Arabidopsis thaliana: one gene and its partner. The protein of the gene in region 2 interacts with the protein of the main gene of each other region in a pairwise test. Each region holds a gene or a part of one and is shown on either strand. Other genes may lie near its edges. The genes, in order: UMAMIT11 and ABCC4.

Region 1 (3,936 bases), 2.5 Mb from region 2:
TCAAAACCGATGTTCAAAGCAGAAGGATTGTGTTCCATTACGAAGGCTAGGGCTAAAGACTGTAACGTTCCCATGAAACACACCATTGTTGACATTGAGAGATGGGCTGAGTATTTCTTCAAAGTCGCAGCCTATTTAACAAAATATAAAAGCCTAATTCGTTAAATCTATATTTTTATATATTACGAAAACAGTGAAAAAAAATTCCAATCATATTATTATTTTAGATATAGTTAACCCAATTATTTTTTTAAAAATTATATAACATGAAAAATTAGAAACAACATCCCAGTAACATTATTAATACTATATCTAAAATTTCAAATTTTTTATATTACTTTTACGTATCCCCTACATGGTTTGGTGCATAAACTATATTTTCCTATGTTGATGGAAATTTAAAACTAATCCTAAAAACTATATTATACGTTTTTTAGTGATGTAAGAAGTGAGTTATATTATACACAGGATCAATATATAATTGATACATACCTGAAGAACAAAGAACGACGCCCATGAGAGGGAAGCGAGGAGTAGGAAGACGGCAGCCTTAAGATAGTCAGCCGTCGGCGGCGAAGAGGCGGCCGTGAGGTGAGACCGGAAGAAATTAATGAAAGGACCTTTGTAGAATATCATCAATATGGATCCAACCACTGTCACTAACGTCCCCATCACTTTTACCAGGCATCTTACTTTTCTCATCTCCACTTTCTCCATCCTTTAAAACAAATATTTACATAAAACACACACATCAATATTCATAATTTATGACATCGATCGTCATACACTAATTGTACTACTATACATCTACTTTTGAATTGGTGCATATCCACGTACCAAAATATAATAAAACGTATCTTTTTCTTTGGTTAAATGAATAAATGTAAATAATAAAAAAGTTGCTTTTTGTATGTTACCTGAAAAGTGTGGCAAGGATAATGGTAATTGCAGGCACGATGTTGCTAACGGCGGAGGAAAACGTTGGTGATGTGAGTTTTAGACCGATATAGTATAAGTTCTGATCAATCACCGGCCTGTTCAAATTAAACCTTCCATGTTAGCCTTAATCGTAATTATTACAAAATCTTCTTGATATCAACGGTTCTGTTAGAAGACTAACCCGAGAAGAGCAAGAAGAAATATTCGCATGAATATTGGAAACGTCATCTTTGATCTCACTTTCCTACAAAAAAATCCCCAATACATAATTATTACTACCAAAAAAAAAAAAAAATCTAAGTCTTGCGAGAATCGATTTCTTTAGAAGAAATATGTACCTTTCGGAGAGAAGAGCGAAGGGTGCGATAGCGGCTGTGGCAAAAGCGTTGCGGTATGCAACAAGAACGTAATGGCTCATACCGCGGTCTAGGACGGTTTTAGTTACTAAGTTCATACCTGCGTATCCGAACTGAAGACAGACCATTGCAAAATAAGGTTTAGCTGATTCTGACATCCTTAATCCCATCTTAATATTTTGTTTTTGTTTTTGTTTTAGAGCAAGAAAAACCAATCAAAGTTTTGGAGTTATTTTAGGATCCTCGAGGACAAAAAAATTGTCAAATTAGTGTTATGTATATAAGAAAACTGAGTTAGGAAAAGAGAGGAGAGAAACACTTGGAGAATGTGCTTTTTCCTGAGAACCAAGTGGTGAGAGGTTCTTTGTATATATAGCATATTATTCGGATATGTTCAGTGTTCTCTGATTTCTTCCTTTGTATTTTTGTTATTTTTATTTTATTTTTTTTCGGTGACGTTAGCGTTAATTATTCCGGTTTGATTCGGCATAAGAATTGGGTGTCATGAATTCATTATCTCTAAAGTAAGTGGATAAAACATTCTACATATATATATTCTGTTTATATGACTTCGTGAAACCAATCATATTAGGATTTTAAATAAAACTTGTGGCTACTAAAAGTCGAGGTTAAAAGTGTGATCAGTGTGGAACAAGTGATTAATTAACATCACCTCATTTCTTAACAATCAAAATTTACATGTTTATAGTAGTATATGTTTTAGTTGCACAAAAAACAACAACATTAGTATATGTTGTAGTTGCAAAAAAAACAAAAAAACTAATAAGTACATATGGACACTAAAACGTAATTCTAACATGCATGTAAATTATTTTATTCATGCAATTGGCTTTAAACATGGTTTTTTTTTTTTTTAAACTGTGGACTTGTCTATAAAATCACAAAATCCAAACTGAACTAAAATTAGCCGGATCGGATTAGCGTATTGTTAAAAGATTAAAAGAAACTTGAAAGCCACAGAAAAATTGTTGCGATTGTTAGTCTACCGTGGTTTTCGATATATGTGGTCTCATGACTCATCACCATCATAAGCTAATTGCTTTATTTAATATATAGTAGAATATCTTTTGGTTAATGTATAGTAGAAATTTGACAAATCGACCGACCTCTGCAAAAAGATTAACTCATTGTAATGCTAATATGGGGTTATATACGTGTGGAATCTGACGTATGTCCACCTCTATCCTAATTACTACATTCATGGTCATAAATCATCGATCTTTAATAAGAGGTTAAATCAATGAAGAAGCATAAGTGGACAGATTGAGTTCCACGTGGCAGCAATAATCAATTGGGTTCAATCCTACGTACATTGGGACCGGCCAATATCTCAAAACTACATTTCATGTTTAGAAATTTAAGGTGGACAAAATATGTGTTACATGTCTTGTCTGTTATCGATCTCTTCACAAAGAAATAAAACCCCAGATATTTTTAGAGTTACGTAACAAAATAATTATGAGTTATATATGGTTAAAAGTTAATCTAATCAGAATATTATTAGAACACCTTACCAAAAAAAAGAATATTATTAGTACAAGAAAATCTTGAATATATGTTCTGTTTTGGGCACTTAATTATATATGTTCATACCTGTTGTTTACATTTCGGATAAGCAATTATATACTCAATTCTTGAATACATCTATACATGTTTGCGTACATATCATCGATCTGCCTAGAATTGCTTATCCGAAATGTAAACCTCATATATTATACAATATATAAATTCGTGAACAAAAGCTAACCACATAGCATAACTCATTGGATTCTTTTGTTTTATTATATATCCCAAATACTTCACTTATGTTTAGTTGGGCATCCATTATCTTTTATAGAATATGCATTAATGTCACTTTAAGTGACAATAGTGGCTACTTTACTTAGTTGGAGAAGGTTTGTGTGGAATTCGTATCTTAATTTTTTTTAAAAAAATTAGATAGATTCAACTGTATTATATTAGGTCGCATGACTTTGTTGATATGTATATGCACGGTGAGAATGAGAACAAAGACGAATTATTTTATTATGCAATCCGAAAAAGTTTGATGGTTCGATCGGTTCAACATCTTGATTTGCATTGTTTTAATTGGAGGTTCTAGTCTATCCATCATTATTTTTTTTGTTATTTTTTTGAAATTTAAACTATCCATTATGTTAATAATTAATAATTCAATATACTTATCCAAATAGAGGAAATGTCTCACGCTCACTCGTCTGCATGTATAAAAACATAAGTACTTTAGAAGTATTATGATTGAACCAACTGACTAGTGTTGTACAAATGATATGATGTTGATTATTTAACAATAGTAACAATATTGGAATGTCTTCATATATATATATATATATATATATATATATGATCATTCTATGTTATATTCGAGTTCAAGATCATATAAATTTATAGTGAAGTATACCAACCACTGTATCATGCATGAACTCATCATAATAGGATTTCTATTCGTGTATTAGTGTAAACCATATGTTTCATGATCAAAATTTCGTTCCAATTATGTAATGATCTCTTGCACATTTTAATATTATAGTTATGTATGTGGCTACTAAAATTAGCACCATTGGGTGTAAAACTTTCAAATTAAAAAAAAAAAAAAACAGAT
Region 2 (3,936 bases):
CGCCTAGGCTCCCGTAGAGAAGCACTAGTGCAACAGTGACTTGCAAAGGCATGAGCCAGATTGCGTGGAGCTGAAGCATCATGTCAGAGAGCTGTTGTGCATCTACGGCCATGTAATTCACGATTTGTCCTACGCCGTGGTTCTGACGCGCAGAGCCTGTGAGCTTTAAACCTTTCTTGTAGAGTGCAGTGATTAGAGTTGACCTTATAAGCATCCCAAGCTTCTGGGAATCGAAATTGAACTGATGCGTCGTCAAGACCTCGACGAATTTGGCAACAAGGAGGATGAGGACGAGGTAATAACCTTGCCACGGGGAGGATCTCTTGCCGGAGGTGAAATCGACGAAGCTCTGGATGAGAACGGGACCAACGTACATGACGCCGAGACGGACGATGGCTAGAATCGCGGTGAAGAGGATCTCCTTCCAGAAACATCGGAGTAGAGTCGTACGGATAGGGTGGCTAGAATTCTCCGACGGTTTGGGCCAACTCGATTCGAAGAGAAGCGCGAGCCTCTCTGCTTTGTGCTCTGGAGAAAGCGTGGGGACTTGTTCGAGCGTCAGTGGAGATTTGTAGCCTTTGCTGAGTAAAGGATTCATCCATAACCAGAACGTTTTCGAGAAAACAGAAGCAGACGCGTAGAGAGAGACGTTATCGGATTTCTCCACCGAAACGGCGTCGGATGGTTTCGTAGGACTGTTGGTCTCCGCTGTGACGAGGCCGGTGATTCCTCTGACGGAGGCGATGAGAAGAAAGGCGGTTAAAGGGAAGGAGAAGAATGAAGCGACGTCTTCTGCTCTCAGACTCGTGGCGGCGTCGGAGAGAAAATGGAAAATCCCAGTGACGGCGAAGAGAGACGTGAGGACGAAACTGGAAATCCAGTAGATTCGTAGAGATAAGGGATGATTTAGAGCAGCGAATCTCTTCTGGTGGAGGACGAGAACGGCGATGACTAGGTGTGTAACGGCGTGAATAAGCCAAAAGAGCGGGTCTATGAGGTTCCATGGTCTCTGAGTCCGTCGCTTGCCAGTGAAGGCCAAAACGCAGAGCACGACGGAGCAAAACGACAATAGAACGGTGACTGCGACCGTCGTTTTGAACCATGCGGTTGTTCTGGTTGGGGTTCTTCCACGGATACCAATAAGAGGTTTCCTAATCTCAGCGTGTCCGTTGATTTCGGAAGAAGAAGAAGGAGAAGAAAAGAGCTTGTGAAGAGCGAAGCAGAGGAGGAATATAAAATCAACGGCGGAGAAGAGAGCGCGTTGAGGGCAAGGAGAGAGTAAAACAAATCTGAGCCATTGGATTGGTACTGGAACTGAAGACGTATGTTCTACAACAGCCGAATATGAACATGAGAGCTCAGAGAGCCATGGAGAAGACGAAAGCAACCACATTTTTCCCAGTGAAAAAATATAAAAAAGAGAGAGAGAGAGGAAGAGAAAATTCCTCTGAATTATCGGTTTGTTTGAAGTGGAAAATGTAAGAAAGAAGCTCCTGACATTAAAAGGTACCGATTATCACATCCCACAATAGTGTGACTGGTGGTGTACAACAATGACGCTGCAACAAAAGGCCAAACACAAAAAGAAAAAGAAAAGTTGACTATCATTTTATTACTTATGAATCTTTTTTTGAATAAAAATGATAGAAACTTTGCTATTCACGTGTTAATCATATTATCTACTAAATAATTACTACTATATGATTATATATTATTAGAGGATAGAAAAAAAAAAAAGTCTGTTGGGTCAAACCATTAGAAAATTGATTAAATCAGTATTTTAGCATTAGAGTCATTTTCTCGAAGATTACGCTAAGCTGATTTCCAACAACTAATAATCTTTTAGTTTCGCTTTTTCAAAAAAAGAAAGAAAAAAGATGTTTTATGCACTCAATCATATATGGTCATCTAGTCTTACCCGTAAACTGTCTGCTATTTTTATTTTCTTTACACTAAGTTTGTTTTAAAACTCAAAGTTGTTTAATGTTTTAATAGGACTTATTGGAAATAATATTATTAATGACGTATCCACGACCTTGACCAGTGTACACAAAATATATAGCTATATGCGTTGTCTAGCTAAATACTGCCAAGAGAAGACAAATTCTTGGTTTTGGGCAAAAGAAAAGACAAATCCATTGGAACGAAAATTCGAATCTTTTATCATTAGCTAATTACATGCCGTAGTATCTTCTAAATTTGGTTGAGAAAATCGAGTTTACGATTTGTTTTTAGTCTACTAGTTAAACAAGAGACACGCGGAAACCTTTGTTAATAATATATAAACAGCCGCTTAGGAAAAATTTAGTATTTTGTTGACAAGATCAGCAGAAGAAAGAAAGGAACTACACCATACTAATAAATTAATAATAAAGTTACCAAAAAGTGGAAAGGGTCGTGTGAGATTTGTCTTCCACTGAGTTGGTCGAATTGATTAAGAAAGATGAATAAGAAGAGTCTATGAGAATAAGAAAAGTCTTATTAGAAAAATTGGACCAATTATTGGAACCCTTTATATCATGGAAATATGGAATGATAAAATTCTATCACTCTCATATATAATATAAAGTGTTGTTGTATTGTGTGAAATAAAACTGTGTTGCTGCAAAAAAGTGGTGATAATATGAGACGTAACGTACAATTTGCTCCCTTGAGAAAACGTCGTCATGATTAATATAAGTTGACGTTCCCAATTTTATTACTCCTACGTAATAAAAGGGGGACGGGCCGGAATATCAGTTTCCAATCAGAGCAGAGTTGTCTTATCGCACTTAATTATTTGCAGGCTACTTGTTGTTGTTACTCGTTTCTTTTCCATTGCCATGTGTAGAGGAATATAACGATTAGCAAGAACGAAAAAACCGACTAAAAGATATATATGCAGAGAAAAAAGATCGACATAGAGTTAATTACCGCATGTTACTTGTATTAGTAATAATATTATGTTATGGGTCAACACACCTTTATAATATTAGATCCGATCACTGACCGATCGGAGCCATTGAAAAAGGACATTTTCATAAATCTCAATATCAAATGATATCTGGTTGTAACCACTAAATCTGTTTGCTACCATCACGTGGCTTTCTATATGTTTCTATCCGTTTTTTAATTTAATCTTTTCACATTTTAGTATGTTTATGTTTCTATGGACATGTTTAGAAGAAGCGCACGGTGAGCGAGCGAGTTGGTTGTTGTTTCCTTGGGCTAATAATCGTATTGGACCGTGCGTTAAATGGGCCGAAAAGGTTAAAACAGGCCTAAATTTTGACCTATAGAGTTATAACCTTCTCTATGACTTAGAGAGGTAAGTGCTAATCCTCGTTTCGTTTTGATCAACGAACAAACCCTAGACCGTTAAAACCCTTATCAATTTCGCTGAAACGGCAAATGGAAGAAGTGTCGTCGGAGATGGAAGTGGAGGTTCAAAATCGTCAGCTTTCGGATTCTTCTCCGGCTCAAAACGTGAAGAAATTTGGGCTCAAGAACTCTATTCAGACCAACTTCGGCTCTGACTACGTCTTCCAGATTGTCCCAAAGTAAAAGCTTTCTGTTCTCTCTTTTCGATAACCATACTAATTAGTTTACTGAAAGTGAACCCAACTCTGGTTTTGTGACAGAATCGATTGGACAGCAATCGCGGTTTCCTTATCAACCAACACCGTCAAGCTTTACTCGCCGGTGACTGGTCAGTACTACGGCGAATGTAAAGGCCACTCCGATACCGTCAATCAGATTGCGTTTTCCTCCGACTCGGCGGCGTCTCCTCACGTTTTGCACTCTTGTTCCTCCGATGGTACCATTAGATCTTGGGACACTCGAAGTTTCCAACAGGTGAGTTTTTTTTTTTTTATATAAATTCTGTCGTAAATGTGATTCCATTTTCGGAACTCATTGAATTTAAGTTGATCATGGGTGTTTCAGGTTTCGCGTATT

What was found.
Region 1: the proteins of ABCC4 (region 2) and UMAMIT11 interact in a protein complementation assay, tested with the Arabidopsis thaliana proteins (one large-scale study listed by BioGRID).

What each region holds. Positions count from the first base shown.
Region 1 is NC_003071.7:17,064,050-17,067,985, forward strand, and holds the start of UMAMIT11 (nodulin MtN21 /EamA-like transporter family protein), read right to left. Parts: upstream 1,765-3,936; 5' UTR 1,466-1,764; coding exon 1,278-1,465; intron 1,184-1,277; coding exon 1,121-1,183; intron 1,035-1,120; coding exon 918-1,034; intron 719-917; coding exon 493-718; intron 132-492; coding exon 1-131.
Region 2 is NC_003071.7:19,572,401-19,576,336, reverse strand, and holds the start of ABCC4 (multidrug resistance-associated protein 4), read right to left. Parts: upstream 1,672-3,936; 5' UTR 1,394-1,671; coding exon 1-1,393. Other genes in the region: AT2G47790 (Transducin/WD40 repeat-like superfamily protein), read left to right, coding at 3,391-3,539, 3,621-3,834, 3,925-3,936. UniProt on the Arabidopsis thaliana protein: Involved in the regulation of stomatal aperture. May function as a high-capacity pump for folates.